Ovis aries: one gene and its partners. Each later gene encodes a partner of the first gene's protein in a complex. Links are inferred from orthologs where the notes say so. Each region holds a gene or a part of one and is shown on either strand. Other genes may lie near its edges. The genes, in order: TAF13, TBP, TAF5, transcription initiation factor TFIID subunit 9-like and TAF7.

Evidence for each region.
Region 2: TAF13 (region 1) and TBP share a complex: the UniProt entries of both Homo sapiens proteins name them as parts of the TFIID basal transcription factor complex. The link is inferred for Ovis aries from reciprocal best matches to the Homo sapiens genes TAF13 and TBP.
Region 3: TAF13 (region 1) and TAF5 share a complex: the UniProt entries of both Homo sapiens proteins name them as parts of the TFIID basal transcription factor complex. The link is inferred for Ovis aries from reciprocal best matches to the Homo sapiens genes TAF13 and TAF5.
Region 4: TAF13 (region 1) and transcription initiation factor TFIID subunit 9-like share a complex: the UniProt entries of both Homo sapiens proteins name them as parts of the TFIID basal transcription factor complex. The link is inferred for Ovis aries from reciprocal best matches to the Homo sapiens genes TAF13 and TAF9.
Region 5: TAF13 (region 1) and TAF7 share a complex: the UniProt entries of both Homo sapiens proteins name them as parts of the TFIID basal transcription factor complex. The link is inferred for Ovis aries from reciprocal best matches to the Homo sapiens genes TAF13 and TAF7.

The regions. Positions count from the first base shown.
Region 1 is NC_056054.1:86,370,692-86,376,257, reverse strand, and holds the end of TAF13 (transcription initiation factor TFIID subunit 13), read left to right. Parts: intron 1-1,133; coding exon 1,134-1,231; intron 1,232-2,320; coding exon 2,321-2,491; 3' UTR 2,492-3,566; downstream 3,567-5,566. UniProt on the Homo sapiens protein: The TFIID basal transcription factor complex plays a major role in the initiation of RNA polymerase II (Pol II)-dependent transcription.
Region 2 is NC_056061.1:91,732,679-91,739,485, forward strand, and holds the start of TBP (TATA-box-binding protein), read left to right. Parts: upstream 1-2,148; 5' UTR 2,149-2,397; intron 2,398-6,706; exon of another isoform or gene 6,707-6,807. Other genes in the region: PSMB1 (proteasome subunit beta type-1), read right to left, coding at 1,894-2,006. UniProt on the Homo sapiens protein: The TFIID basal transcription factor complex plays a major role in the initiation of RNA polymerase II (Pol II)-dependent transcription.
Region 3 is NC_056075.1:23,655,870-23,662,729, forward strand, and holds the start of TAF5 (transcription initiation factor TFIID subunit 5), read left to right. Parts: upstream 1-2,660; 5' UTR 2,661-2,697; coding exon 2,698-3,256; intron 3,257-5,534; coding exon 5,535-5,772; intron 5,773-6,860. UniProt on the Homo sapiens protein: The TFIID basal transcription factor complex plays a major role in the initiation of RNA polymerase II (Pol II)-dependent transcription.
Region 4 is NC_056065.1:58,197,360-58,203,236, forward strand, and holds transcription initiation factor TFIID subunit 9-like, read left to right. Parts: upstream 1-2,778; 5' UTR 2,779-2,916; coding exon 2,917-3,702; 3' UTR 3,703-3,833; downstream 3,834-5,877. UniProt on the Homo sapiens protein: The TFIID basal transcription factor complex plays a major role in the initiation of RNA polymerase II (Pol II)-dependent transcription.
Region 5 is NC_056058.1:50,053,615-50,060,466, forward strand, and holds TAF7 (transcription initiation factor TFIID subunit 7), read right to left. Parts: upstream 3,761-6,852; 5' UTR 3,060-3,760; coding exon 2,010-3,059; 3' UTR 1,494-2,009; downstream 1-1,493. UniProt on the Homo sapiens protein: The TFIID basal transcription factor complex plays a major role in the initiation of RNA polymerase II (Pol II)-dependent transcription.

The DNA of each region.
Region 1 (5,566 bases):
TCATCTGAATTAAATTCGCCCTTTCCCATCCATTTTAGTTCACTGGTTCCTAAGATGTTGGTGTTTGCTCTTTGCCATCTCCTGCTTCACCACGTCCAGTTTACCTTGATTCATGGACCTAGCACTCCACGTTCCTATGCAATACTGTTCTTTACAACATTGGATTTTACTTTCATCACCAGACACATCCACAACTGAGTATTGTTTCTACTTTGGCCCAGCTGCTTCATTCTTTCTGAAGCTATTAGTAGTTGTCTCCCCAAGTAGCATATTGGATACCTTCCAACCTGGGGGACTCATCTTTCGGTGTGATATCTTTTTTGCCTTTTTATACAATTCACAGAATTCTCAATGGCAAGTATACTGTGGTAGTTTGCTTTTCTTTCCTCCACTGGATCACGTTTTGTCAGAACTCTCCACTATGACCCATCTGTCTTGCGTGGCCCTGTGTGCATGACTCAGCTTTATTGAGGTATAAAAGCCCTTTCACCACGAGAAGACAGTGATCCATGAAGGGGTTTACCTATTAGCAGTTACTTTTATTACTTCGTATTATACTTTTCTTCTCTTTTGTGTTTTCTATGAAGCCTAAAAGGGCTTCGCTGGCAGTTGCTTTGATCCAGGGAATAAAATGTCAAGATTCTGTATTATAAGCTCTTGCTATCTCCTTTTGATTAACCAGTTCTTCCTGGAAGAAGGTAATTGGAGCTTTCTCTTATGTCCTTTTCCTTATAGTTGTATCATAAAGGATTTTGCCTTCTTTTTTCCAGCCCTCCTCCCCCCAAAAACAGCTAAACCATTGCTACTCACCCTTTTCCTGCTAAGAAGATTCCTACTTAAAGGTATTCTGGGGTTGTTGATGAGTAGATAATAGAGGTTAGGGAAGAATATTGATATCAGGGCTCAGTAGCTAGGCGACAAGGGGAGTTTCTACCTAGGGAAGGCTAGGTAAGAACAGTTGGTTATGAGCTAGTGGTTAATACCTTTCACACCAAAATTCATACTTGGAGACAACAAATATAATGTAAATATACTTTTATACCAATATCTTCTATACCTTGGTTCAATTCTAATATGAAAAAAGTATAAGTCAAGTTCTTTTAAGTAAACAAAAATGATTGTTCTTTTTACAGTACGGTGTATGATGTATGGGTTTGGAGATGACCAGAATCCTTATACTGAATCAGTAGATATTCTTGAAGACCTTGTCATAGAGTTCATCACTGAAATGGTAAGACTTTTTTTTTTAATTGGTCTTCGTTAACTGAGGAATGGATTTGAAATTCTAACTTTTAGAATAGAACTGTGACATACTTTTGAAAAACTATTCGAGTGCCTGTTTTGTGGAAGTTTCTGGTTACCGTTTATCATTAAGGATGGAGAGAGATATACATGTATATATATGGGTATACGGAGTTTGGCTGTGTTCAGTTCCTGTGAATTTTTACCCTTTGTTTTAGATTATTTCCTTCATAAAGAATAATAGAAGTAAAATTACTGGGTCAGAGAGTATGCATTTTAAAAAATCTTTTTCTGCTTATATTAAATTTAGAAAGTATTATTAAATTTATTTTATATATGCTTATATTAAATTTAGAAAGTATTAAAGAGTGCCCAGAAGAAAATAGAAAGCTATAACCCTTCTACCAAGGGATAACTGATGCTGAGATTTTTGTGAATATTCTTTTGTCTTTTTACACGTTTTAAAACTTTACAAAATTGAAATCATGTAGTACATACAGTCATAGAGCCTGCTTTCCCTGTGTCACTGCAGAATACTTTTAATATTTTTGATGGCTTCATAATATTAATTGGCTAGATGTACTCAAATTTGTTCAATGCCTTATTAAATATTTAGTTTCTTTTTTTTCAGTCATTAGAAATAATGCTGCAAGGAGTTTTTTGTTTTACACAGTATGATTATGTAATCATAGGGGATGAGATTTGTCTAAAGAAAAGCCACCAATATTTATTAGCTACCAAGATGGACACAAAGTTTAAATGAAGTGGGTGGTTACAGAGAAATTACAAAATCATTTTATACAAATGAAGATCAACTATATGTATATCAAAATACAAAAAGAAGCATCTATGGATTTGATAGTTTTAATGACTTTAGTGTAAAAAATGTCTGTCAAGCACTGAAACATTGCTAATAATGGTAGAAGTGGACAAAGAACATTAATAGAAAGACAATTCACAAATGAATAGCTATAATAATTAGAAGAGAAGTCTTCAAACTCACCAGCATTATAGTTAAAAAAATAAAATGTTAGATTTTTGAAAAATTAATTGAATTTAATATGTTTCTTTGTAATAGACTCATAAGGCAATGTCAATTGGAAGACAAGGTCGGGTACAAGTTGAAGATATCGTCTTCTTGATTCGAAAGGACCCAAGAAAGTTTGCTAGGGTTAAAGACTTGCTTACTATGAATGAAGAATTGAAACGCGCTAGAAAAGCATTTGATGAAGCAAACTATGGATCTTGACATCTTTTCTGAAGCTTCATTATGTTCTGGGGAAACCATACTTAATAACTGTATTTTCCACAGTAAGGCCCTGATACCTAACCATGTGAATGAAAAATGGAGAACCACAAAGTTTTCAGGCTTTATTTTCATGTTTTCAATTTTAGAGTGATATATGAGCCTTTAATTGCCTGCCATTATATTACCCTACTTGAATGACATATTAGATTTTAATGACCACATGTAAGTCAAAGTACCTTTGGTTTGCAAACCATTCAGTTTCCTCTGACTCTTGACCATCTCAATGATGAATTAATATTTATGTATACTTGTGCCATTGTAGGTTGTACTATAGCTGTTTAATCTGTGAAATCTAAATGGCACCTTTGACTTTGATAGCTAAGATGTGTTTCATATATTTCTAAAGCTTTTAGACCAAAGTATTGTAAGTTATTAAAAGATGGTGAACTGGTTTGTGTTTCTTTTAAGGAGAAAACAATATTAGAAAGTACAGTCTTTTGTAGGAGTGTTTATTTGTCTTAAGATAATTTAATACTCTTCTTTGGATAACAAGAGTGATTTTTTTTATTTTTTGAGAAACTAAGAATTTCCTATGAATGGTTCTGTGTTGAAAGACATACTGGATTAAAAATCTTTGGGGTTTATAATATACTGTTTGTCAGATTTTAAAAGAACTCGTTTTCCCAGGTCAGATTAAAACTTCAGAAAGTGCTTTCAGTAGCAGGAATGGCATTGCTGAAAAGTTGATGGCAGGTAAGCATTTCGGGTAGTGTTTTATTAACATATTTGTTAGTATTTATTTATTCTGAAAATGTATACTTGACTAAAACCATGTGTGGCTATGGAAACCACTTTTGTAGTTCACAAATTTTGTGTGTATTTAGCTCATTGTATTATTGCACTTAGCTGAAAGTAAGGATTAAAATTGCATTTAAAGGGATCACTGGATATTACTCTTTGTGAAACTGATTGTTTCGTGTGCCGCTTATAAGCATTGTCTATGAATCAGTATTTAGGAAGGTTTCACTTTCTTAACCTATCAATGTAGAGAATAAAGGATGAAAAATTAAAAAGATTACTGCTTGAGTTTGACTATATGATTTATCAGCTTTTCTCTCCCTTATAATTCACTAAAAACTTTTTTTTCTGTATTATTCTTGTAATGCTCCTGAATTGATTGTGAGATTCAAGATACCTGGCCTGATATTTTTATTTGAAAAAGCAAAAACCAGTTAAAAATCTACTTTAAACTGAAATCAAGATTGAGCGTGGAATAATAAAAGATCAGTATGTTACTATTTTTGCTAGTCAGAGTCTGCTTGACCCTGAAGAATGACCTGGTGGTAACCGGCAGAGTGGAGTTACACTGGGTGCCTGTATTAGTCAGCTTGGGCTCCCATAACAAAAATGTCAGACTGAGTGGCTGGCTTAAACAATGGAAATTTATGTTTTCACAGTTCTGAAGACTAGAAGTCTTGAGATCAGGGTGCCAATAGGTCAGGTACTGGTAAGGAGTCTTCCTGGACTGCAGATAGCTGCCTTCTCCCTGTGCTCACATGGCTGAGAGAGACCTCTTCTGTTCCTCCCTGTTATAAGGCCACCAGTTCTGTGGGATAACGATTCCACCCTTATGACCTCATTTAACCTTAAGCACCACCTTAAATGTCCTTTCTGCAGTCAGTTGGGGATTCAGTTCAGTTAAGTTGCTCAGTCATGTCCGACTCTTTGCCACCCTATGAACCACAGCATGCCAGGCCTCTCTGTCCATCACCAACTCTCAGAGTTTACCCAAACTCATGTCCATTCAGTCGGTGATGCCATCCAACCATCTCTTCTGTTGTCCCCTTCTCCTCCTGCCCTCAATCTTTCCCAGCATCAGGGTCTTTTCAAATGAGTCAGCCCTTCGCATGAGGTGGCCAAAGTATTGGAGTTTCAGCTTCAACATAAGTCCTTCCAATGAAGACTCAGGACTGATCTCTGTTAGGATGAACTGATTGGATCTCCTTGCAGTCCACGGGACTCTCAAGGGTCTTTTCCAACACCGCAGTTCAAAAGCATCAATTCTTGGCGCTCAGCTTTCTTTATAGTCCAACTCTCACATCCATTCATGACTACTGGAAAAACCATAGCCTTGACTAGATGGACCTTAGTCGGCAAAGTAATGTCTTTGCTTTTTAATATGCTGTCTAGGTTGGTCGTAACTTTCCTTCCAAGGAGTAAGTGTCTTTTAATTTCACGGCTGCAGTCACCATCTGCAGTGATTTTGGAGCCCAGAAAAATAAAGTCAGCCACTGTTTCCACTGTTTCCCCATCTATTTGCCATGAAGTGATGGGACCAGATGACATGATCTTAGTTTTCTGAATGTTGAGCTTTAAGCCAACTTTTTCACTCTCCTCTTTCACTTTCATCAAGAGGCTCTTTAGTTCTTCTTCACTTTCTGCCATAAGGGTGGTATCATCTGCATATCTGAGGTGATTAATATTTCTCCTGGCAATCTTCATTCCACCTTGTGCTTCTCCCAGCCCAGCGTTTCTCATGATGTACTCTGCATATAAGTTAAAGAAGCAGGGTGACAGTATACAGCCTTGACATACTCCTTTTCTTATTTGGAACCAGTCTGTTGTTCCATGTCTAGTTCTAACTGTCGCTTCCTGACCTGCATACAGGTTTTTCAAGAGGCAGATCAGGTGGTCTGGTATTCCCATCTCTTTCAGAATTTTCCAGTTTTTTGTGATCCATACAGTCAAAGCCTTTGGCATAGTCAATAAAGGAGAAATTGATGTTTTTCTGGAACTCTTGCTTTTTTGATGATCCAGTGGGTGTTGGCAATTTGATCTCTGGTTCTTCTGCCCTTTCTAAAACCAGCTTGAACATCTGGAAGTTCACGGTTCACATATTGCTGAAGCCTGGCTTGGAGAATTTTGAGCATTACTTTACTAGCGTGTGAGATGAGTACAATTGTGCGGTAGTTGGAGCATTCTTTGGCATTGCCTTTCTTAGGGATTGGAATGAAAACTGACCTTTTCCATTCCTGTGGCCACTGCTGAGTTTTCCAAATTTGCTGGCACATTGAG
Region 2 (6,807 bases), on another chromosome or scaffold:
CCTGAAACACAACTGGTCCTCCAGTTAAGTGTTAGCTATGATCCCCCTGGCCTAAGCATGATCACCGAGAACCTGGACTCTGAAGCTGCCCAAAGCCTGCCCGTGCCACTAGCAGCTCTGCGGCCTTGGACAAATCGCCAAGTTGGCGCTGTCAGCAGTCCCTCTGTCAAAGGCTGGCGAGCCGAATGGTGTGGCCTTGAAGTGCTCAGCGGCACGTGCACAGGCCAGTCACCTGGAGTCTGACCACAGTCAGTCAGACGAGAAGGACACAGGACCGAGTCTTATTTTGTAGAAGCAAAGGCTGCCCAAGAGGCAGCAATAGATGTTAAAGGAAAAGGACACAGACTAAGATAAGGGAATTCAATGTCAGAAAGCCATAAGCACTAACTTTGGAGCAGTGATTAGATCACAAAGGTTAGACAGTAATAAACACTGAATACCTTATAGTCTCAAGCAGAATCTGCAACTGTCTCATGAAATGGGTCTAATAACTCATTTTGTGATCCCACCACTTCATTAGTTGTCACAGGAAATATTTAAAAGTGCGATGATAAAAGCATTCATCAACTTCATAGCAACACAGGTATGGATTCAAGTCCTGGGGTTCAACTTCACACCAGCGCTATGACTAACAAAATTAAACTTCTAAGAGCCCAGGTTCATTTGTAAAATTGAGGTATATATCATCTAACAGTCAGTCATCATGAGGATTAAAAAGATACCTGCTTTCAATCTACAAAGTGCTTCTCTTTTGATTCTTCTCTCAAACTATGAGTAGCTAAGGAAGATAAGGAAATCTGGGTTCAAGGAGCTGAGAGGTAGGTACCAAACACTACACTGCTCTTTAGTGTCAGAGACAAGGCTAAAATCACACTTCCACCTTCTTTGCAAATACCCCAAAAATCTACATTAAAATTTCAAACCCATAAGACCTGAGTAATTAATCTGGTCTTTGGATGGTCCTTAAAGATTACCAGATTAATTTGGTGTGTACGTTTCAAAGTACAAAATTTGGCTGGCAAACTATAAACGATGCTTAAATACACAGCTCTTCGCAGTGAAGAGTCCTAAAGAGAGTGCCTTTCCACAACCCTAGTTCTTTCAGTGCACTGTCAAGGAAAAGTATTAAGATAAAGCGGGTAAGTTAAAAAGAAAGAAAAGCTCACATACAACATGCAAGAATACACACATTCAAAGGTCCGCCTTCTGAGTATTTTTCCCCTGAACTTACGCTAGCCCTTAAAACTAAACACTGATCAATGAAACTAAGTCTGTGCAAGTAATCCTACCTGCTATTTAAAACAACTCAAAATGGTGATTTGATTAGACCTATTAGCTAGACAGGGCTTCCCTGATGGCTCAGAGGTTAAAGCGTCTGCCTGCAATCGGGAGACCTGGGTTCGATCCCTGGGTCAGAAAGATTCCCCTGGAGAAGGAAATGGAAACCCACTCCAGTATTCTTGCCTGGAGAATCCCATGGACGGAGGAACCTAGTGGGCTACAGCCCATGGGGTCGCAGAGTCGGACACGACTGAGCGACTTCACTTTCGCTAGACAGCTATATTTAATCACATGGCCAATCAACCCTAACTTTTAATCTCAGATGTTCAACCTGCCCCGTGCCTGCTGGCTAGAGAAGCACATTCAGACAGGTCCATTTTTAAAGCTCTTCAGAGCGGAGGTCAGGTGTCAATTTCTATCTGCTGTCTACGTAAAGCTGGCCATCCACATCAAGATCCAGTGACCCGCCTATAAGGTGAAGCCCTGAAGAACAAGAGCTAGCCGAGCAACCTCGGAGAGGGAGGCCTGAGACTGGAAGGGCAGCGCCGGGCAGACAGACTTAAGCAGGGATATGGAGGAAGAAAGAGAAAGCGGCGGCTCTGCGGGTTTTACCCTCCGTTGAAAGCGTAGGGCGAAAAGCGCAGCTGCAAAGGGCCCACGGAGCTGTGCGGTTCCATGGCCAGGTCTCGGCCCGCGCCCGAGTACGAGGCAACGGAGGACAACATTCCGCGGCTGCTCTCCTGCTGTCTCACGGCAAGATGGCTGCCTCGACCGGAAATTGTGCCGTTTCCGGTTTCCGCGGCGCTGCCTCCGGCCGCTCTATCTCGCGCCAGTCGTTGCTCCTGGAGGCCAGAGCCCTCCCTTTCCAGTCGGTAGCTATTGCCTGCTCTACGAAGAGACCTGGCAGTGAGGTACAGGCTTTCTTTTCCAGGCAAATATTCGAAATCACTCGTGATGGATAGAAATTTTAAAGTCTGAGCTTACAAAGACATTGGAAAAACTATGGAGCAACGGAAACTCGAAGAGTCTATTGAAGTGTAAATTCGGAAAGGGACTGGCATTACTTGACATAGTTGAAAATACACACACATCATGACCCAGCAGTTTCACGCCGAGGTATGTACCCTGGCCAGAAGACGTGAAAGAATGTTCATAAAGATGTTCTTAATGGCCCCAAACTGGAAATGAGCTAAATATCCATAAACTGCAGAATGGATAAAGCAACTGAGGGATGTGGATGTGCAAAAGCAAGCAAATTAACTGACTTTGGCTAGAGGGAAAGGTCCTCCTTGGCTAGGGATGGGTTGGAGGTTGTAGTGCTAGCAATACTGGGTTTCTTTACTTGATTTAATGTTTGCCTGCTCAGTAGATCAGGCGTGTCCGACTCTGCGACCACACGGACTATGCCCATCAGGCTCCTCTGTCCATGGGGTATTTACAGGCAAGACTACTGGAGCAGGTTGACATTTCCTCCAAGGGATCTTCCTCCCCCAGGGATCGAACGCCCATCTCCCGTGTCTCTTGTACTGGCAGGCAGGTTCTTGGCCAACGAGCCACCAGAGGAGCCCTTGGTTGCTGTTGCTCAGTCGCTAAGTCGTGTCTAACTCTTTGCAACCCCATAAACTGCAGCCCGATAGGTTTCCCTGTCCTTCACTATCTCCCAGAATTTGCTCAAACCCATGTCCATTGTGTTGATCACATCCAACCATCCCATCTTCTGTTGCCCCCCGCCCCCCTCCTCCAGGCTTCCTTCTCCTGCCCTCATTCTTTTCTAGCGTCAGGGTCTTTTCTAATGAATCAGCTCTTTGCATCAAGTGGCCAAAGTATTGGAGCTTCAGCTTCAGTCTTTCCAATTAATGTTTAGGGTTGATTTCCTTTAAGATTGACTGGTTTGATCTCCTTGCTGTCCAAGGGACTCTCAAGAGTCCCTCCAACACCACAGTTCAATTCTTTGGCACTCAGCCTTCTTTATGGTCCAACTCTCACATCTGTACATAACTCTGGAAAAATCACAGCTTTGCCTATACAGACATTACCAGCAAAGTGATGTCTCTGATTTTTAATACACTGTCTCGGTTGGTCATAGCTTTCCTTCCAAGGAGCAAGCGTCTTTGAATTTCATGGCTGCAGTCGCTGCAGTGATTTAGGAGCCCAAGATCAAATCTGTCACTGTCTCCACTGTTTCCCCGTCTATTTGCCATGAAGTGATGGGACCGGATGCCATGATCTTCATTTTCTGAATGTTGAATTTTAAGCCAGCTGTTTCACTCTCCTCTTTCATCCTCATCAAGAGGCTCTTTAGTTCCTTTTCGCTTTCTGCCATTAGAGTGGTATCATCTGCATATATGAGGTTGTTGATATTTCTCCAGGAAATCTTGATTCCAGCTTGAGGTTCATCCAGCCACACATTTTGCATGATGTACTCTTCATATAAGTTAAATAAGCAGGATGACAGTGTACGGCCTTGATGTCCTCCTTTCCCAGTTTTGAACCCGTCCATTGTTCCATGTCTGGTTCTGTTGCTTCTTGACCTGCATACAAGTTTCTCAGGTGATAGATAAACTGGTCTGGTATTCCCATCTCTTTAAGAATTTTCCATTGTTTGTTGTGATCCACACAGTCAAAGGCTTTAGTGAAGTCAATGAAGCAGAAGTAGATGTTTTCCTGGAATTCCCTTGCTTTCTCTATGATCCAATGGATGTTGGCAATTTGATTTCTGGTACCTCTGCCTTTTCTAAATCCAGCTTGTACATCCGGAAGTTCTTGGTTTATGTACTGCCCTTACTTGATTTAATACCATCTATTAATCTGTATACATGTTTACATACTTCTTTATATGAATATCATATTTTACAATTTAAAAATGTTAATTAAAAAAAGCAAGCAAGCCTTTGACTAATATAGAATGGACTGCCTGATATATACATGCAATTCTGGAAGCAGAAAAAGATTTTTGAAAAGTACTTTTTTTAATTAAAACTTTTCCTATACTTTACTGTAAACAAAGCATAAAAGAAAGGGTTTTCTTTGATGGTTATGGACAGAGAAGTATTGTATTTATTCAGGTACTGTCTTGGATACAAAAATTCTGTAAAATCTTTCCTATCCTTAAGGAGCACACAACCTCATTGATTATGTGAAGCACAAAGGAAGCAAGCTAACAAGCATTACAACCTGCAATTATGCCTAAATGAACCATAGGATATTAGAGATACCAAAGGAACATTTCATGCAAAGATGGGCATAATAAAGGACAGAAGTGCTATGGACCTAACAGAAGCAGAAGATATTAAGAAAAGATGGCAAGAATACACATAAGAACTATACAAAAAAGCTCTTTATGACCCAGATAACCACAATGGTGTGATCACTCACCTAGAGCCAGGCATCCTGGAATGTGAAGTCAACTGGGTTTTAGGAAGCGTCACTACGGACAAAGCTAGTGGAGGTGATGGAATTCCAGTTGAGCTATTTCAAGTCCTAAAATATGCTGCTGTGAAAGTGCTGCACTCAACATGCCAGCAAATTTGGAAAACTCAGCAGTGGCCACAGGACTGGAAAAGGTCAGTTTTCATTCCAATCGCAAAGAAAGGCAATGCCAAAGAGTGTCCAAACTACTGCACAATTGCACTCATCTCACATGCTAGCAAAGTAATGCTCAAAATTCTCCAAGCCAGGCTTCAACAGTACTTGAACTGAGAACTTCCAGATGTTCAAGCTGGATTTAGAAAAGGCAAAGGAACCAGAGATCAAATTCCCAACATCCACTGGATCATTGAAAAAGCAAGAAAGTTCCAGAAAAACATCTATTTCTACTTTATTGACTATGCCAAAGCCTTTGACTGTGTGGATCACAACAAACTGTGGAAAATTCTGAAAGAGATAAGAATAGCAGACCATCTTACCTGCCTCCTGAGAAATCTGTATGCAGGCCAAGAAGCAACAGTTAGAACCGGACATGGAACAACAAACTGGTTCCAAATAGAGAAAGGAGTATGTCAGGACTGTATGTTGTCACCCTGCTTATTTAATTTATGTGCAGAGTACATCCTGTGAAATGCCGGGCTGGATGAAGCACAAGCTGGAATCAAGATTGCTGGGAGAAATATCAGTAGCTTCAGATATACAGATAACACCACCCTTATGCCAGAAAGTGCAGAGGAACTGAAGAGCCTCTTGATGAAAGTGAAAGAGGAGAGTGAAAAAGTTGGCTTAAAGCTCAACATTTAAAAAACTTAAGATAATGGCATCTGGTCCCATCACTTCATGGCAAATAGATGGGGAAACAATGGAAACAGTGACAGACTATTTTCTTGGGCTCCAAAATCACTGCAGATGGTGACTGCAGCCATGAAATTATAAGACGTTTGCTCTTTGGAAGAAAAGCTACGACTAACCTAGGCAGTGTATTAAAAAGCAGAGACATTACTTTGCTAACAAAGGTCTGTCTAGTCAAAGCTATTGTTTATCCAGTAGTCATGTATGGATGTGAGAGTTGGACTATAAAGGAAACTGAGCACTGAAGAATTGATGCTTTTGAACTGTGGTGTTGGAGAAGACTCTTGAGAGTCCCTTGGAATACAAGGAGATCAACCCAGTCCATCCTAAAGGAGATCAGTCCTGAATAGTCATTGGAAAGACTGATGCTCTAGCTCCAATCCTTTGGCCACCTGATGGGACAAAGTGACTCATTGGAAAAGACCCCGATGCTGGGAAAGATTGAAGGCAGGAGTACTGGAAGATAGAGAATGAGATGGTTGAATGGCATCACCGACTCGATGGACATGAGTTTGAGCAAGCTCTGGGAGTTGGTGATGGACAGGGAGGCCTGACGTGCTGCAGTCCATGGGGTCACAAGGAGTCTAACACGACTGAACGACTGAACTGAACTGAACCATAGGAGAGGTCCTCTGGGGTCCAAATTTACCTATAGTTCTTGTGACAAATGTGAAAAGACTTCAAAAGATGGCAGCAGGCCACCTGTTTTTTTTTTTTTTTTTTTAATCATTCCACATGTTTGTGAATAGCTAACACTGCTTACCGCGCGCCAGGCACTGTTTATGCATTTCCTTAATTCTTCTCACATTGTTGGGACAAGCGGTATTACCATTCCATCCTGTACATGAAGAAACTGAGGTGGAGCGGTCTGGTAACTTGCTCAATGTCACACCGCTAGTTGGTTTAAACAGTCAATATTTGAAAATCAATATCTTGTCTACATCCAGCAGCGACCAATCAACATATTCTGGCAGGGCGGCCTCCCCCGGAAGCCAGAAGCGCTCCGCCCCGCCTCTTGTTTCTCTAAAGCCGAGTATCCAAGGGAGTCAGAGGAAGTCACCCGGCGCCCACACTTGGCGCGGCCGGCGCCCCTCGTGGGCAGCCTGCTAAAGCCGAGGGTGAAACTGGCGGAAGTGACGTTATCAACGCGCGCCCGGAGTCCTGTGGGATCGGGAAGGGTCGCCGTGGCGGGCGCCTGGGCCGCTGGGCGCTGAACTTCGTTTTCTCCGACCGGTAGTCGTCTCTGCA
Region 3 (6,860 bases), on another chromosome or scaffold:
TGGTGACTGCAACCATGAAATTAAAAGACACTTGCTCCTTGGAAGAAAAGCTATGACCAACCTGGAAAGCATATTAAAAAGGAGAGACATTACTTTGCCAACAAAGGTCCGTCTCGTCAAAGCTATGGTTTCTCCAGTAGTCATGTATGGATGTGAGAGTTGGACTATAAAGAAAGCTGAGCACTGAAGAATTGATGCCTTTGAACTGTGACGTTGGAGAAGATTCTTGAGAGTCCCTTGGACTGCAAGGAGATCAAACTAGTCCATCCTAAAGGAAATCAATGCTAAATAGTCATTGGAAGGACTGATGCTGAAGCTGAAACTCCAATACTTTGGCCATCTGATGAGATGAACTGACTCACTGGAAAAGACCCTGATGCTGGGAAAAATTGAAGGCAGAAGGAGAAGGGGATGACAGAGGATGAGATGGTATCCTCTGGGTGGCATCATTGGATGCCATCATTGACTCTATGGACATGAGTTTGAGTAAGCTCCAGGAATTGGTGATAGACAGGGAAGCCTGGAGTGCTGCAGTCCATGAGGTCGCAGAGTCGCATACAGCTGAGTGAATGAACTGAACTGAACTATCTGGTGTTTTCAAACTGCAGATCATTTAAAAATTAAATTAAAATAAATTTAATCAGTCATACTGAGCATTTTATTTAAAGAACAGACTATCAAATATTAGAGTATATATTTCAATGTGATAATTATACATATTATTGTTAAAACTTGTCTCACTTATAAATATCCACATACCTACGTGGGTTATGGGTTCTGGTGTTAAACATATTTCTTACTGTGAATCATGGCCAAAAAAATTGAAAGCTCCTGGTCTAGATCAGTTTGTTCAACAGAAATACAAGGTGAGCCACATATGTAAATAAAAATTTCCAGAAAACTTTCCACAAAAAAGTAAAAAGAAATAGGAAATTAATTTTAATATTTAACTCATATAAAAATACTTTTCAACATGTTACCAATAAAAATATTATTGAGCCATTTTATTCTTTTTGTCTTTAAAATCCAGCACATATCTCACACTTAGAGAACACCTTAGCTCAGACTAGGTACATTCAGTGGCAGTAGTCAATAACCACACTATTAAGTTGCTCCTGGAGTAGTGCAGGTCAGTTTTGCAATTACCTACCTTAGGAGGCAAACTCTAAATTCACTCTTAGCTTTGTGAATTTAAACTTAGGAACTGAACAAGATTGTAAACTCACACCAGTGGCTACCTCTCCCATCACACTCAACCCTAGAGATGGCACTGAAATTGATAGATCAGTAAAAACTGTGAAACCTCTGAGGATATGTGTGTGTGCATGTGTGCATGTATGTTGATAAACAGGGAGTGATGGGGCCAACACATCACAGGTTTTCCTGTTTTGGGTGCATCCTTCACCTTTTACCAATGCTAGGCTTTAGCCTCTCCTTCTGGGTAGACAAGGTAGCTGATACCTTCCGGGAAATACAAATTCATAGAGAAAAGTAATGAGATGCAGAGGAAGGTGCAACTGCTAGTAAAGCAAGAAACTGAACAACTTAAATGCTCATCTCCTCCCCCCTCTCTGCCCTTGCCCCTACCCATGTTTCATAATCTTACATTATGTCAAATTCCACTAGTTTTATATTTCAGTCTTGAGATCACCATGTATGTCATGATTAGACTTTCTTAGGAAACATTTGCAGAACACCGCTTAAGGTTCAGTAAAAATAACCAATAGTTATTTATTATGTGTTTAGTTCAGTTCAGTTGCCCAGTGGTGTCCGACTCTTTGCGACCACACGGACTCTATCTTATTTAATCCTCACATAACTCGATCTTCCCCATGTCCCAAGTTCACTTTTCTTGTCTGCACCTATCTCATACCGTTGTGAGAGTCAAAGGAGACCAAATATGCAGCGCAGATTCTTTACCGTCTGAGCCACAACGTAAGTCCTCAAACATGCAGCAGTGCTTTTAAACCTATGAAGCATGTTGCAAAATGGCACATACTGTTTTAAAATATACAACTAAAATGCGGCCTGCTTGTAATAATGGTTAACATAGCACGAATACAGCATATACACATTTCACAATCACAAAATTCAGGTTCTTAAAAACTTTTTATTGAAATATAACATATATGCGTAAAGTTCACAAAACGTGAGCTTGCAGCCCAATTAATTTTTATAAGGCATAAATGGGAAAAAGAAAAGTAACCGCCATCCAGAAAAAAATATAAACATTACCAGTAACTCAGAAGCCTCCTTCTGGTAAATGATATATGCTTTTAAGATAAAGACCTGGTTTTGAATCTTGACGCTTTCCTCCTGTGTGACTTTGGCATTTAAAAAATGTCTTTAGGTCTTGATTCAGTCATCTGTATCGTGAGAATAATGGTACTTTATATGACTGCTGAATAAAAGGTCACATAATGTAAAACGTCCATCGCAGTGCCTGAAAAATAGCTGGTCTGTAATAAATGTAACTATTATCCGGCAAATGCAAGAGGCTGCCCCGACGTCCCACTTCCTGCCTTTTTGCCACTCACTTTTGAAAGTTGCTCTTGCTGCGATTCCTTTTTCTCCTTCTTTATCGCCCCTCCTACTGCCGTAAATTGCCCTCCAGAGATGTCGTAAAACGCTCCTCCCCGCCCTCCATATGGCGAAAACGCAATCACGCTTGACGGCGCGAGGTGGCTCAGCCGCAAGATGGCGGCGCTGGCAGAGGAGCAGACGGAGGTGGCGGTGAAGTTAGAGCCTGAGGGACCGCCGACGCTGCTACCTCCGCAGGCGGGGGACGGCGCTGGCGAAGGTGGCGGCGGCACAACCAACAGCGGCCCCAACGGCGGCGGCGGGAACGTTGCGGCGGCGTCGTCGGCCGGCGGGGATGGTGGGACCCCCAAACCCTCGGTGGCTGTCTCCGCCGTTGCACCGGCGGGGGCGGCCCCGGTGCCCGCCGCTGCTCCGGAGGCCAGCGCTCCCCACGACCGACAGACTCTGCTCGCCGTGCTGCAGTTTCTACGGCAGAGCAACCTCCGCGAGGCCGAAGAAGCGCTGCGCCGTGAGGCCCGGCTGCTGGAGGAGGCAGTGGCGGGCTCCGGAGCCCCGGGAGAGGCAGACAGCGCCGGCGCTGAGACAGCCAGCGCGCTTCTTAGCCGGGTCACCGCCTCGGCGCCCGGCCCTTCGGCCCCGGATCCTCCAGTCAGCGGCGCTTCGGGGTCCGCCGCCGTCTCGGGCTTAGCGACAGGTTCTGTGGCTCCGGGTAAAGGTGAGCCGCTGGGTCCGGGGTAGGCAGGACCGGCACGGCGGGGAGTGAGCCGGGAAGGCAGAGGCTGGCAGGCCTGCACCTCTGCGGGCTTGTTTTGAATTTCCTGGGCCCGCCTCTAGGGCCACATGCCCGCCCCTTTCCCTAGTGCGCCGGCTGCGCAGTCAAACCCTCTTCCGAGCTGTCAGTTCCAGCGAGAGGCTGTGGAGAGCTATTGAGCCGAAGGATGTATGGGGACGGTGGGCGCGGAGAGGCGGGAACTTCCAGGCTTTTGGTTCTTATTTGGGCTCTTGAGCTTTGGGCAGGGATGCAGCAACATTATTTGTACTAGCGTACTTTTACTATAAATATTTTGTGTTGTTTATCTTAATTTTCACAGTTCCACTGTGAGGTAGACAGTACTTCTATTTTAGAGATGAGAAACCAGACCGAGAAAGGCCAAGGTATTTGCTTTGGACCGCACAGCCAGAGAGTGGTGGTACATAGTGAAGCCAGTCTTTCTCAAAATATAGGCTAAATACCATTGGTATCAAATCTTTTAGAGAAATGCAGATTCCTGGGCATCACTTCAGACGTAGTGAATCAGATCCTGTGAAGGTGGAGTTTGGGAATCTGCATTTTCAAATAAATGCTTCAGGGACTTCCCTGGTGGTCCAGTGGTTAGGGAACGCATGTAAGAATTAAAGATTTTAAAATTTAAAAAATAAAAACTAAAAAAAAAAAAGAATCTGCCTTCCAACGTAGGGCATGTGGGAACGTGGTAGGGAACTAAGATCTCTCAAGCGTGGGGCAACTAGGCCCGCGCTCTGCAACTACTGAGCCCGCATGCGGCAAGGAAAAATCCTCGGAGCCGCTAGTAAGATCCAACGCAGCCAAAAATAAATAAATATTCTAAGGATTAAAAAAAAAAAATGCTTCCAAGAGATGTTGATCTATGGCAAGGTTTGAGACCCATTCATTTAGGAACAGGTATTGGACTTCAGTTTCTGTCTCTGTTGCTTTTACTTGTGTGATGCTGATTGTTACTCTTCCTAAGCTTGAGAGTTTTTTTCCTTCTATTAAACGGGTTATTGTGAGATTCATATATATGTAAAATGTCTGGCACTGACAAGTTTATGCCAAGTACCTATCCCTGACACCTGAGGCTCCCGCTCCCCTTTTCCTTCAGCAACTGTTGTCAAAAAGTCCATGCAGTAAAAGTCATATACAACATAAAGTTTCAAAGGTGATCCTGAGCCAGTAAAAAATGTTTATTGAATTAAATTACCCATTGTAGAGCCTCTTGCCAAATTAACCTGTGTTTATGAGACCTAATCTTGGCAGCATTTCCAGGAGTGAGGTATGAATAAGCGCTGTAACCCATAAGTAGAACTGTGTGCAAATGTGATTGAGAGGAATCTTTTTTGAATCTGAATTTGGGAATGAACTATAAGATGGATGAATTATGTGGTTGATTATTTTGCTATAATCTCTCATCTCTTTAGAAACTTGACCTTCAGATTGTAACTGAGAAACCAATAGAAAGGAAAAGAGGCCATCATAGTAACCAAAAAAACTGAAAATTTGTGCAGTAAAGAGCATAACAGTACTGTAATCACAACTTAAAAAAAATTTCCCACAAACCCTCATTTGATTGACAGATGTATCGTTGTTTGGTATTGAAATATTACAAATAAATACTCATGCTTTTTGCCTTGAAATGGTGGTTATGGAAATTGTTTTAAGCATATAAAATAGATTTATCTTTTGGAAATATAAAAGGCAAGTTCTTCCCACCATTAACATGGTTGTATTTTATAGGGAGTGATAGATGGACATACGTGAAGGTAACACAGGATAAGATATGTTGCTGAAAAGTTATAAAATACTCAGGTAGCTCAGAGGGCTGGGAATGTTACTCCAGGGCATGGCTTTGTGGTGGTGAGTGCCATTTGCACTGAGCCTTGAGAGAAGAGTAATACCGTTGTTTGATTTGCACATACCATGTTTTATAAAATTTGTTTTTAAAATAGTGAAGCTCTAGGAAAAATGCTGAATCTTTTTGCTGTTGATCTGAAAATTTTTATTTTAAGATGTGGACAAACCAAGGAAGTGTTGGATGGGTAACTGAAACAAACTGAATCCCATTAAAAGATTTTGTGATTGTGTCGGGGAAGAGTGTTTGAGAGGAGAGGGACAAACATCTGTGAAACAGTTCTCCTCTGGACCTTAACAAAACAGCCTTAGTCTTTTGGTGCTTGTCAGGTCATTTTCTTGAAGTTATTTTTCATTTTTTAAACAGTTGGAAGTGTAGCTGTGGAAGACCAGCCAGATGTCAGTGCCGTGCTCTCAGCCTACAGCCAACAGGGAGACCCCACGATGTATGAAGAATACTATAGCGGACTGAAACACTTCATTGAATGTTCCTTGGACTGCCATCGGGCAGAACTATCCCAACTCTTTTATCCCCTATTTGTACACATGTATTTGGAACTAGTCTACAATCAACATGAGAATGAAGCAAAATCATTCTTTGAGAAGTATGTGAATTTATAAAAAATATGTATATATAGCTATATATATACACACACACACAAAATGTTTATATACATCTGTAACTACACAAATGTCAGATTGCAACTCGAAAAATACTTTATGAAGGAGAGGTACCTGGTGCCTCTGCTAAACTTAAAATGAAGGGTTTGATCTTGTTGAAGTCAGGAAAGGCTCCTAGAGGTGATGTTTGAGATAGGATCTGAAGGCTGGAGAGGAGTTAACCAGAGGAAGAGAAAAGGGAAAAACTTGTGTGACAGCCCTGTGGCAGGAAGGATCATGGTAGGCCCCGAGGTGAAAGAAGGCTAGTGTGGCTGGAGCAGAGTATGGGGGGTGGGGTTTGGTACTACATGAAGCTTGATGGTTGGTTAGTGGCTGGGACAGGCAGGTTCTTAGGCCATGTTGAGGGTCTTTGTTTACCCTAAGATCAGTAGTTAGTCATATTGGGTGGGATTAGATTTGGCTGAGATTCACTGAAAAATCAAACAATAGCTGCCTAAATAAAAATTTTATTTTTGCTTCTAAGAGCAGTAGAGAATTCACCTGCAATGCAGGAGACACAGGTTTAATCCCTGGGTCAGGAGGATCTCCTGGAGGAGGAAATGGCAACCCACTCCAGTATTCTTGCCTGGAAAATCATATGGACAGAGGTCCTGGTGTGCTACAGTCCATGGGGGTGCAAAGAGTTGGACACGACTAAGCATACACGCACTGCTGCTGCTACTAAGAGCAGTATGAAGCTGTGTTAGGATTAGATTACATGAGAGTGACTAGAACCCCAAACAGTATAGGCTTGAGTATAATAAAATTCTGTTTCTCTCTCTCATGATGGAAGGCATTCTAGGACTGGTATGGAGTCCTTTGTGTCTCTTGATCATGTAGTGCTAACATCCTTGTCATGCAGTTTCCACTGTGGTACATGGTGACTCTCCAGCTCTGAGAAATCAGATAAGTGTTCGAGTGAGCAGGGAGGGTGCACATCCTTCCTGGAAGTGCAAGTATTTCTCCCTTTTTTATGTCATTAGTCATTGGCCAAGGAAGGTAGGAAATATGGTCTTTACCTAGATGTCTGTGT
Region 4 (5,877 bases), on another chromosome or scaffold:
AAGATATTAAGAAGAGGTGGCAAGAATACACTGAAGAACTGCACAAAAAAGATCTTCACGACCCAGATAATCACGATGGTGTGATCACTCATCTAGAGCCAGACATCCTGGAATGTGAAGTCAAGTGGGCCTTAGAAAGCATCACTATGAACAAAGCTAGTGGAGGTGATCGAATTCCAGTTGAGCTAGTTCAAATCCTGAAAGACGATGCTGGGAAAGTGCTACACTCAATATGCCAGCAAATTTGGAAAACTCAGCAGTGGCCACAGGACTGGAAAAGGTCAGTTTTCATTCCAATTGCAAAGGAAAGGCAATGCCAAAGAATGCTCAAACTACCACAAGATTGCACTCATCTCACACGCTAGTAAAGAAATGCTCAAAATTCTCCAAGCCAGGCTTCAGCAATACGTGAACTGTGGACTTCCTGATGTTCAAGCTGGTTTTAGAAAAGGCAGAGGAACCAGAGATCAAATTGCCAACATCCGCTGGATCATGGAAAAAGCAACAGACTTCCAGAAAAACATCTATTTCTGCTTTATTGACTATGCCAAAACCTTTCACTGTGTGGATCACAATAAAGTGTTGAAAATTCTGAAAGAGATGGGAATACCAGACCACCTGAGCTGCCTTTTGAGAAATCTGCATGCAGGTCAGGAAGCAACAGTTAGAACTGGACATGGAACAACAGACTGGTTCCAAATAGGAAAAGGAGTATATCAAGGCTGTGTATTGTCACCCTGCTTATTTAACTTATTTGCAGAGTACATCATGAGAAACACTGGACTGGAAGAAACACAAGCTGGAATCAAGAATGCCAGGAGAAATATCAATGACACCACCCTTATGGCAGAAAGTGAAGAGGAGCTAAAAGCCTCTTGATGAAAGAGAAAGAGGAGAGTGAAAAAGTTGGCTTAAAGCTCAACATTCAGAAAATGAAGATCATGGCATCTGGTCCCATCACTTCATGGGAAATAGATGGGAAACAGTGGAAACAGTGTCAGACTTTATTTTGGGGGGCTTCAAAATTACTGCAGATGGTGACTGCAGCCATGAAATTAAAAGACACTTACTCCTTGGAAGAAAAGTTATGACCAACCTAGATAGCATATTCAAAAGCAGATATATTACTTTGCCGACTAAGGTCCATCAAGGCTATGGTTTTTCCAGTAGTCATGTATGGATGTGAGAGTTGGACTGTGAAGAAGGCTGAGCGCTGAAGAATTGTTGCATTTGAACTGTGGTTTTGGAGAAGACTCTTGAGAGTCCCTTGGACTGCAAGGAGATCCAACCAGTCCATTCTGAAGGAGATCAGCCCTGGGATTTCTTTGGAAGGAATGATGCTAAAGCTTAAACTCCAGTCCTTTGGCCAGCTGATGCGAAGAGCTGATTCATTGGAAAAGACTTTGATTCTGGGAGGGATTGGGGGCAGGAGGAGAAGGGGACGACAGAGGATGAGATGGCTGGATGGCATCACTGACTCGATGGACATGAGTCTGAGTGAACTCCGGAATTTGGTGATGGACAGGGAGGCCTGGCATGCTGCGATTCTTGGGGTCTCAAAGGGTTGGACATGACTTAGCGACTGAATGAACTGAGCTGAACTGATGCTGAAGCTTCAATAATCTGCCTACCTGATGTGAAGAGCCAACTCTTTGGAGAAGACTCTAATGCTGAGAAAGATTGAAGGCCGGAGGAGAAAAAGGTGACAGAGGATGAAATGGTTGGATAGCATCACTTACTCAATGGAGATGAGTTGAACAAGCTCTGGGAGATAGTGAAGTACAGGGAACCCTGTTGTCCTGCAGTCTACGTGGTTGCAAAGAGTCAGACATGACTTAGCGACTGAATAACAATAACAACAATGTAGTATTTGGTTACTATTGACCTTCTGATGACACCTCAAAAGGAGGCATATCCACTTTATGTGATCCCAGATCACTGAGACATGATGATGTGGATGGCTGGATATCTAGAGCAGACAATGTCAATCACTAAGGATCCTCAGAGGGATGAAGCAGGACAGCAAAAGATTTCATCACATTCCTTGGAATGGCAAAGAATTTAAATGTGAATTGTTTGTTTCTGGAATTCTCGTTTGATATTTTCAGACTGTGGTTGACCACAGGTAAGTGAAACTCTGGAAATAAAAACTGTGGATAAGAGGAAACAACTGTATATAAAATATGATATATATTGCAGTATATTGCAGTTCCTTGGACTGCAAGGATATCTCACCTGTCAATCCTAAAGGAATATTCACTGGATAGACTGATGCTGATGCTGAAACTCCAATGCTTTGGCCACCTGATGCAAAGAGCCGACTCATTGGAAAAGATCCTGATGCTGAGAAAGATTGAAGGTGGGAGGAGAAGAGGATGACAGAGGATGAGATGGCTGGATGGCATCACTGACACAATGGACATGAGTTTGAGTAGGCTCCTGGAGTTGGTGATGGACAGGGAATCCTGGCATACTGAAGTCCATGGGGTCGCAAAAAGTCAGACACGACTGAATGACTGAACTGAGCTGATATTGCAGTAAAAACGGATGAATACAAGAATATTTTCTTTATCAAAGATAAAAAGCATGATCGATATGCTAGGAACTGTTTCCTAAGTTATTTCCTATATTAACATGTTTAACTGATATATAAAAATACAGTGAAATATTGAAGTATTATTACCTCCATTTTGCATAATGAATTATTATTAGCTCCATTATTACCTCCACTGGGTATAGAGAATGTGTATAAAAACCTAATTTAAAAAAAAAAAAGCGATGTTGCTTCCGAACATCCTGCTCACCGGTACACCAGGGGTTGAAAAAACTACATTAGGCAAAGAACTTGCATCAAGATCAGGACTGAAATACGTTAATGTGGGTGATTTAGCTCGAGAAGTTTGATCACCGGATATCATGGAGTCTGGCAAGATGGCTTCTCCCAAGAGCATGCCGAAAGATGCACAGATGATGGCACAAATCCTGAAGGATATGGGGATTACAGAATATGAACCAAGAGTTATAAATCAGATGTTGGAGTTTGCCTTCCGATATGTAACCACAATTCTAGATGATGCCAAAATTTATTCAAGTCATGCTAAGAAAGCTACTGTTGACGCAGATGATGTGCGGTTGGCAATCCAGTGTCGTGCTGACCAGTCTTTCACCTCTCCTCCACCAAGAGATTTTTTATTAGATATTGCAAGGCAAAGAAATCAAACCCCTTTGCCATTGATCAAGCCATACTCAGGTCCTAGATTGCCACCTGATAGGTATTGCTTGACTGCTCCAAATTATAGACTGAAGTCTTTACAAAAAAAGGCATCTACTTCTGCAGGAAGAATAACGGTTCCACGGTTAAGCGTTGGTTCAGTTACTAGCAGACCAAGTACTCCCACGCTTGGCACACCAACCCCACAAGCCATGTCTGTTTCAACTAAAGTAGGGACTCCAGTGTCCCTCACAGGGCAAAGGTTCACAGTACAGATGCCCACTTCACAGTCCCCAGCTGTAAAAGCATCAATTCCTGCAACATCAGCTGTTCAGAATGTTCTAATTAATCCGTCATTAATTGGGTCCAAAAATATTCTTATTACCACTAACATGGTCTCATCACAAAATACTGCCAATGAAACATCAAACACATTGAAAAGGAAACATGATGACGATGATGACGACGACGATGACTATGATAACTTGTAATCTAGCCTTGACGCATGTAACTTGTATACTTGGTTTTGAATCTGTTGTACTGAGATTAAACATGCATGCTGGATATTTCCATGTTGTGTTCTAGAAAGAATAGTATTTAATGAGTAAATATGCTTACCATACTTTTTGATTGAGCTGTTGTGTTAGATTTTCTTTGATAGGATTAGTAATGGTTTCTCGTCACCCTTTAAGTGTAAAAAATAAAGTTGCAATTCGTGCATTTAAAAAAAAAAAAAGCAAATCCAGAAGACTGCATATAGAAGACTGCATACAGAATGCTACCTTATTTTACTAAAACTAAAAATCAAACAATGCTCAAGATTATGTTATTTAGGAATATATATGCAAGAAAAAATTTTCCAAGAATGGGTGTATTATATGGTTAAAAATTAAGAGAGTAATTATCTCCAGGAGATTAGCAGACCTACAGATGGGTGATAGCTTTGAAAGTATTAGCAATGGTCTAGCTCTTATGACTTTCCCGGCGGCTCAGAGAGTAAAGCGTCTGCCTACAAAGTGGGAGACCTGGGTTCAATCCCTGGGTTGGGAAGACATCCTGGAGAAGGAAATGGCAACCAACTCCAGTATTCTTGCCTGGAAAATCCCATGGATGGAGGAACCTGGTAGGCTACAGTCTACAGGGTTGCAAAGAGTTGGACACGACTGAGTGACATTTACTAATATTACTTTAGCTCTTATGACAGGTGGTAGATTCATAGTTGATGATTACAAGATGATGCTTCATAACTTTTATAGGCATTATATATAGTTTTACTTATACCAAAATTATACTTTAAGAAGTTTAGCACCTGCATTTTGTGATATTTAGATTAACTGTTCAGGGGCTATTTTTCTTATTTCCTGGTTTCCAGCTACAGTGCTTAAGAGATAGGATTACTAGGTAGCTGACTTCTAGAGCAGCAAACAAAATTATAACTTTTTTTTCTTTTCAGTCTGGGTAGTCATTCTAAACATAAATCAGTTTCAAAATAATGCTTATAAAAGAATAAATGGTCCCACTAAATGCAAAAAACAATTTGACCACTGAGAAATATGTTAACAGCTTTCTCAAATCAATATGCCAACATTATTGTAATTTCTGAATAATGGTAATAAAAACAACACTTCCAGATAGAGCTCTAACATGTAAAAAGTTGTGAAGCTATCAAACCTGTCCTTAAGACAAGAAAACATTTTATAAACTAAAACCAGTGACTTTTGTTGAACAACAGAAAACTGAATTTGTAGGGTTAATTGTTGCTCCACAGTCTGGACATGCAGGCACATTCAGAGAGACAGAAGATCTGCTTACCTGGAGCAGAAGCTGATGAAGCAACAGATAAGAGCACTTAAATAGTAATTTTGATGAACTGTTGATAGTGTGGACTAGTATAAGAGGAAATTCTGGAGATCACAGTCTAAGGGGTTCAGTACTTGTTCCATGCAGCTCACCAAGTTCTCACTGTGAAGATTCGAGAATACCTTATGGCTCTGGCAGGGCTGGGGATAGAAGAGAAATCACTGCAAAATGCATTCAGAGCACTTTCCATCAGGAAGACCTAAACTCCAGGGGAAAAGACTTTACCAAATCCTTCCCCAGCTGGGAAAGAACATTTCTCCCACTGTGCCTTTCTCTATCCTTCCCATTACATTTTAAAAGTGAACAACATCTATATCATTGGAAAAATATTTGTAACAGTCACAGACTAGAACCACAAGCCTAAACCAAGATTTAGTCACAGAAATATAAAATTCTTTCTTTCCCCTACATCTGGCCACTATACCAGGGATCCAGAGTACAGTGAATTACAGATGAAAGATGTAGACTCTGTCTGCAGAAGAGTGAGATGGGAGTTCAAAAATAAAAGGAGAGATAATAACAAGAACACTGGAGGAATTTGAAGTCTCTGGTAACTACAGTACCAGCTAACATTGAACACAAACTTATAGCCAGATTAACATAAATTCTCACACTAATGACATCTAGACTTCACTACTAGTTACTTAATACATGTACATCTTTCAACAAAAAGCTGTAAGACATTAGAAAGAAAGAAAGAGGGAAAGGAGAAGGAAGAAAAGAAAAGGGAGGGAAGGGAGGGAAGGTGGGAAGATGGAAACTGTGAAGAGCCAAAGCAAGCATCAGAATCAGACTCAGTTATGACA
Region 5 (6,852 bases), on another chromosome or scaffold:
TGAGCAGTTTTCCTAGTCTGTTTTTACACAGAATTCTTACTGGATACTAAAAAAGATAAAAAGCAGAGTTCAAGACACAGTCCTTCAGAGACTTGACTTGTCACAATTTGTCTCAATTTTTCATCTCAAACATTTGATCTATAAATTCAAAATGTCTAGGCTTTATGACATTTAGAACTGAACATAAAGATCCCCATGTACCTAATCTATAAATACAATGAAAAATGGAGGCCACAGTGATATGCTTATTGCAGCATTCTGTGTAATAGCAAATTTAAAACAGAACAACCTAAGTGACCAGTAATAGGGGAGTGAGTAAAATTAAGAATTTGTAAAATTTCTGCATTGCTTAAAATTTTCAGTGAGTTTTTTCTTTTAAACTTTTTTTTAAAATTCAATTTCTGTTCACAAACTCAGAGAAATATTGAAAACTGTAGCCCAACTATATATCACACTCATCAGACAAGGGAGCTGTGAGAAAAGTGAGTCTTTTTTGGAAACTCTGGGTTTACATGAAGGGAAATGGATCTTAAGTTGTTCTCTTTTGAAGTTATGTAACAGATAATTACTCTTCATTATGGAGGCTTTATGCAAAACCATAAATAAATCAAACAAAAAAAGCTACAGTAAACTCAGTATGCTTATGCTGTAGATGTATGTACTGGAAACAAACTTTGTTTCTGCTGTAGTTTAAGCTTTGATTTAGATTCTTTAATTTGAAATCAGTCAACATTTAAAAGTTTCTTCATACACTTTTCTACCATTTTGATCACTTTCATTGAAGTTTGTAATCCCTATTACGTTTGTAATCCCTGTAACGTTTGTACCCTGCCTAGAAAATAGGCAATAATTTGTTTCTATTCCAGAAATTGTTTTCAAATCCTTTATATTAAGTCAATAGCCAAAATCAAAGGTCCCGAGGTAGATGATATTATCACCTCCACTTTAGAAATGAGGAAATTGAAGCAAACAGATTAATTTACTTGCCCAAGATCACTCAACTCAGGCACTACATCACCTGACCTTGTGATTTTTAACTGCTTTACTCTTCTTTACAGTGACTAACAAGGCAAAATGCCTAATCTCAGTGAATTAACAGCTTAGTAAGGATATGAGCAACAGGTAACTTAGACTCTGGTATGACAGGTGCATAAGAGTACTTATCCCATTAGACTATTATAGAGGAAGAGGAGTAATTAAACTCCTTGAAAAAAATGTAAATAAGCTCAGGATTGAAAACAGTGGAAGAATGGGAGATTAGGCTGGAAAAAACATTCAGATAGTTTAGGAAGGCTCTTTATTTCCTAACCTCCAAATGGAGCAGGTGATACTGCCTGATTTCTTTGCCCTTGCTGTGTTCTTTTCTTAAAATCGAACATAACTGCTTCTTTTCCTACAAAACAGAATCCAATTGGTCAATATATTAAACCCCACCAGGAAACCACTTCAGAAGAGGATAATATCCATTACCCCTAAAAGAGCAAGACACATTATAAAGTGAAACTTAACTTGCTTTTATTTATTGTTGAACGTTACGAAATGACTTGCAATGCAAAAATACGAAAAAATTGCTTTGAATAGCTGGAAAATTAGCTATAGCATCAAAAAACATATGCAAACAAACTTTACTGCCTCCAGACTAGACTCTACTGATTTACCTCAGATGTCATCACAGAGTAGCAATGGAAGCTTCTAAACGGAGAAACAGCCACAAAGTCCTGCAATGAAGCTGTGATTAATAACAAAGTTGAACTTTTCACTCCACTAATCCTACAACTTCTCCACATTTATCTGTCTATACATTCCTACTTCCTATGGGATAAACACCTAGCAAAGTGGTTCCAAAAGACAAATGAGATAGAAGTTCACATTTGTCTACAAGACAAATCCAATAGAAGACAGTGGAAGAAACTGCGAACTGCAAAGTTTTACAAGCAATGAAAACAAAAAAAATTTTCTCTTTCAATGCTGACCTCTCACAGTAATGAAATTAAGTATGAAACCACTCCTCACTTCTCTAGGAGTGATTCTAGCTCTTCTTGCAAAGAGCTGAGCTGCTCCTTTTCCCGGTCTTCCTTTTGTTTCAGTTCATCCAGCACAGCCTGAAATCTGTTTTTGAGAGCCAGGTTTTCCACTTTCATGATGAGATCCTCCTGTCTCTTTGCTCTGTCCTGGGTCTCTTGGAGCTTGCCTTTCATGTTATCAATCTGTTTCTGAATTCCCATAACCAGCTGATTGGTTCCCTCGTTTTCTTGGTGCTGTTCATCTGATTCATTTAGTTTGTCCTGTAGCTGCCTTTCCAGATCTTCTTCAGTGTCTATGATGTTTATATCTTCTTCATCTTGATGTTGTGTTTCATCTTCATCTTCACTGCTGCTGCTGAGGTCATTGAATATCTCCCGAAGCTCATCATGTTCTAAGGAGTCATGGCCCTGCCTGTGGCCAGACATTCCTGGGGAAGAGATATCAAGGCCTTGATTTTCTGTTTCTTTTGTCTCATCTTCAGCAATTATTTCCCAGCGGGTACTGACAGCTTCAGCATCTGTGCTCAGCAACCGCTTTACTTCTTTTTCCACATCTGGAGACTCAATATACTTTTTCTTTGCTGTCTTACGGAATCTTCTCTTTCTCACATTTTTCAGAGGCAGAGTAATTCCATGGTTCCAAACAAATTTTTTCTCTTTGTCCTTATCCTTCTTTTTGCTTGCTTTGGGATCAGCAGTAGCAACTGGTTCCTCCACAGGAGGATAGAGATCACCATCAACTGTAGAGACAAGCATCTGACAGACATCAGCTGTCTTGTAAAAGGTTTTTTTATCAATGGTTTTCAAACTCTCCATAACACACGGCAGGTCTACCAACTTTGCGGCCAAAGGGACTCGGTCCACTCTGACAATTCCATGACGCCCATCAGGGTGTAACTCAATTGATAGTCTGTCCTTCAAGTTGACATGGCCAGACTGTACTGCCCGCCTCACAGTAGAGGCATATTCCGGGGGTAGGCGTAAGATAAACTGGCTCTCTAGTTCATGAGGAGCATCATCTTTGCTCTTACTCATTTTTATTTCTTTGTAATTCACTTTTTCTCTAATAACCACTTGTTGCACTAAAAAGTTCCAGGTACTTCACCAGAAAGACCAGTTCTGTATAAACTTGAATCCTTAATTACAAAGAGTTCTAGGTAGAACATCAGCTATATATCTGTTTTTAATTAAGTCCCAAGTCTTTTTGAAAACGCCGTGACTGAACACCAGTTGTTACTGATGCATTGTCTTACTCGTTTATGTCCATTTAAATCTATTAGCTGCAACGCCAAGTTTCAACCTCTAGATGCCGCTGCAGAACAATGCAGAGAAAGCAAATGGCAGCTCCTACGGATTTTCAGCACAGAAAGTAAGGCTCAGCAGATACGCCCAAACCACAAACTCTCCCGGAACAAAGATATTCAAAACGCGGGGCGTAGTGAGCTCTCTTCGCCTCGGGTACTTACAATCCAGTGACGATTATAAATCCAGATTCTCCGGACAGGAACGAGCGGAAAAAGCCACTCAGAACAAGGCCGGGAGCAGAGCGTCTCTTTCTTGATTCCTTTGTTCTTCCCGGCACTTGGCAAAGCGATCCGCTATTGATTATCGGTGAAATGACTCGGAACTGGCAAGGTGAAATCTCGCAGAGAACCGCAGCTCCGAGCGCCAGACTTTGCAACTCCGCAGCTCGGCGTGCCTCCGTCCGGAGCTGCAGAGCTAGCGGAAAAGAAAGCGTTACGTCACCCCGCAGGACAGGAGGAGTCCGTGAGTGACAGCACGCCTTCGGCGGAAGTGCAGGGCGTTTCAGCGCGCGCAGGCGCAACGCGCGATTACGCCGTTCGGCGTGACTTGTTGTCTCGCGAGATTTTGGTTTTAGGAGAAGGTAGCGATCATGTTTCCAAAACAATCACTGTCTTTAAAGTGTTTAAAACAGAAAGCAATTCTAAGAAAGATTGTCTCGCCTGCCTCTGCTAAGCCAGAGCTTTAACTAGCTCGCCTGGGGCCGGTTACTTCCTTAGGCTTCCGTGTGATTACTGGAGATAGGGCGTCCGTGCGGAAATAGTGTTTGTTTCTGGAAACATCTCAGAGTCTCCCAGACTATATTCTTAAATCTGGAGCCGATAAAAGAATTCATAACTAACCATGCCTGTAGATTTTAAAGTACCCGAATCAGTGGCGTGAGGACGTGCTGCCCACTATGTAATTCTGTGTTTGTTGATAATTAAAGTGTCCTTAGGGGGCCTGTGACTCACGGTCTGTTTGTGTTTTGGAGACTTCCTGAGGCAACAAGGGTGATTTCTCTTTTAATGTGTTAGGTGTAGGTATAAGTGTAAACAGGGAACGTAGTGTTCTTCGGGAGGACCGTGTTCATTTAGGACCGTTGTCTGAAAGACGAATGGTCTGATTAACCTTTAACTGAAGTATTATCGCCTGCCACTAATTTGCCAGTAATTTTTTAGTTTGGAATTAAAAAAAAATTCACCCCTACTGTTGAGCTAACTTTTCTACTTGCCTCTTTAGGTTGTCAGGTATTCTTAACATGGATTTATAGTACTTTGGACTAACAGTGTAAGAGTTTTCACTTCTGTTCATTTCCATTTATTAATAGGGTCAATTTAGTAGAGTTCCACTATCATTAAAATTAAAATTCTGTTCTCTAAAATATCGACACCTGCATCTTAAGTTTAAGGGAACTCGCTTAAGATGTGATTAACATGTAGAAAATTCACTTTATTTATTTTGTACTTATTGTCTCCCTCACCGAAGATTGGAAGGTCCATGATAATTAGAAGGCTAACCGTGTGCTCATCTGGTCCCATTGCCTCATATCAAAACGTGGGGCGTAAGAAATATTTGGTAATTCAATGAAAAAATTGACCCATCCGAAGAACATAAATATAATCTAAATCCTCTAATAATTTGTGGGAGAAAATACATTCTGTATTGCCTTAAAATGAAAGAGAGTCACTTGATAGACATTTCCTCTCCAGTCAAGGGTCCTACAAATTGTTAGGAGGCTGGAGGTTTGCAAACAGCAGATGTGAATGTGTCCCTTTTGGTTTCAGCAGACTTATATTGCGTATCATGGGGTGGAATTTAAATGGCTTGACCCCAGTTTGGTTTTTCATGCTAAGTCTCCAGGGAAATTATGCACTTGCACATAATTGTGCTTTAGTTCTTTGTTCTGTAACGTGTTGAAGAATGTTCAGTTCAGTTCAGTGGCTCAGTGATGTCCAACTCTTTGGGACCCCATGAACCACAGCAGGCCAGGCCTCCCTGTCCATCACCAACTCCCAGAGTCCACCCAAAACCATGTCGGTTGAGTCGGTGATGCATTCCAACCATCTTATCCTCTGTCGTCCCCTTCTCCTCCTGCCCTCAATCTTTCCCACCATCAGTCTTTTCCAATGAGTCAGCTCTTTGCATCAGGTGACCAAACTATTGGAGTTTCAGCTTCAACATCAGTCCTTCCAATGAACACCCAGGGCTAATCTCCTTTAGGATGGACTGGTTGGATCTCCTTACATTCCAAGGGACTCTCAAGAGTCTTCTCCAACACCACAGTTCAAAAGCATCAATTCTTCACTGCTCAGCTTTCTTCATAGTCCAACTCTCACATCCATAATTGGCGGATGGAAAAACCATAGCCCTGACTAGATGGACCTTAGTCGGCAAAGTAATTTCTCTGCTTTTGAATATGCTATCTAGGTTGGTCATAACTTTTCTTCCAAGGAGTAAGCGTCTTTTAATTTCACGGCTGCAGTCACGATCTGCAGTGATTTTGGAGCCCCCAAAAATAAAGTCCGCTGTTTCCCCATCTATTTCCCATGAAGTGATGGGACCGGATGCCATGATCTTCGTTTTCTGAATGTTAGCTTTAAGACAACTTTTTCACTTTCCTCTTTCACTTTCATCAAGAGGCTCTTTAGTTCCTCTTCACTTTCTGCCATAAGGGTGGTGTCATCTGCATATCTGAGGTTATTGATATTTCTCCTGGCAATCTTGATTCCAGCTTGTGTTTTTTCAGCCCAGCGTTTCTCATGATGTACTCTGGATATAAGTGAAATAAGCAGGGTGACAATATACAGCCTTGACATATTCCTTTTCCTATTTGGAACCAGTCTGTTGTTCCATGTCCAGTTCTAACTGTTGCTTCCTGACCTGCATACAGGTTTCTCAAGAGGCAGGTCAGATGGTCTGGTATTCCCATCTCTTTCAGAATTTTCCACAGTTTATTGTGATCCACACAGTCAAAGGCTTTGGCATAGTCAATAAAGCAGAAATAGATGTTTTTCTGGAACTCTCTTGCTTTTTCCATGATCCAGCGGATGTTGGCAATTTGATCTCTAGTTCCTCTGCCTTTTCTAAAACCAGCTTGAACATCTGGAAGTTCACAGTTCACATATTGCTGAAGCCTGGCTTGGAGAATTTTGAGCATTACTTTATTAGCATGTGAGATGAGTGCAATTGTGCGGTAGTTTGAGCATTCTTTGGCATTGCCTTTCTTTGGGATTGGAATGAAAACTGACCTTTTCCAGTCCTGTGGCCACTGCTGAGTTTTCCAAATTTGCTGGCATATTGAGTGCAGCACTTCCACAGCATCATCTTTCAGGATTTGAAATAGCTCAACTGGAATTCCATCACCTCCACTAGCTTTATTCGTAGTGATGCTTTCTATGGCCCACTTGACTTCACATTCCAAGATGTCTGGCTCTAGGTGAGTGATCACACCATCGTGATTATCTGGGTCATTAAGATCTTTTTTGTACAGTTCTTCTGTGTATTCTTGCCACCTCTTCTTAATATCTTCTGCTTCTGTTAGGTC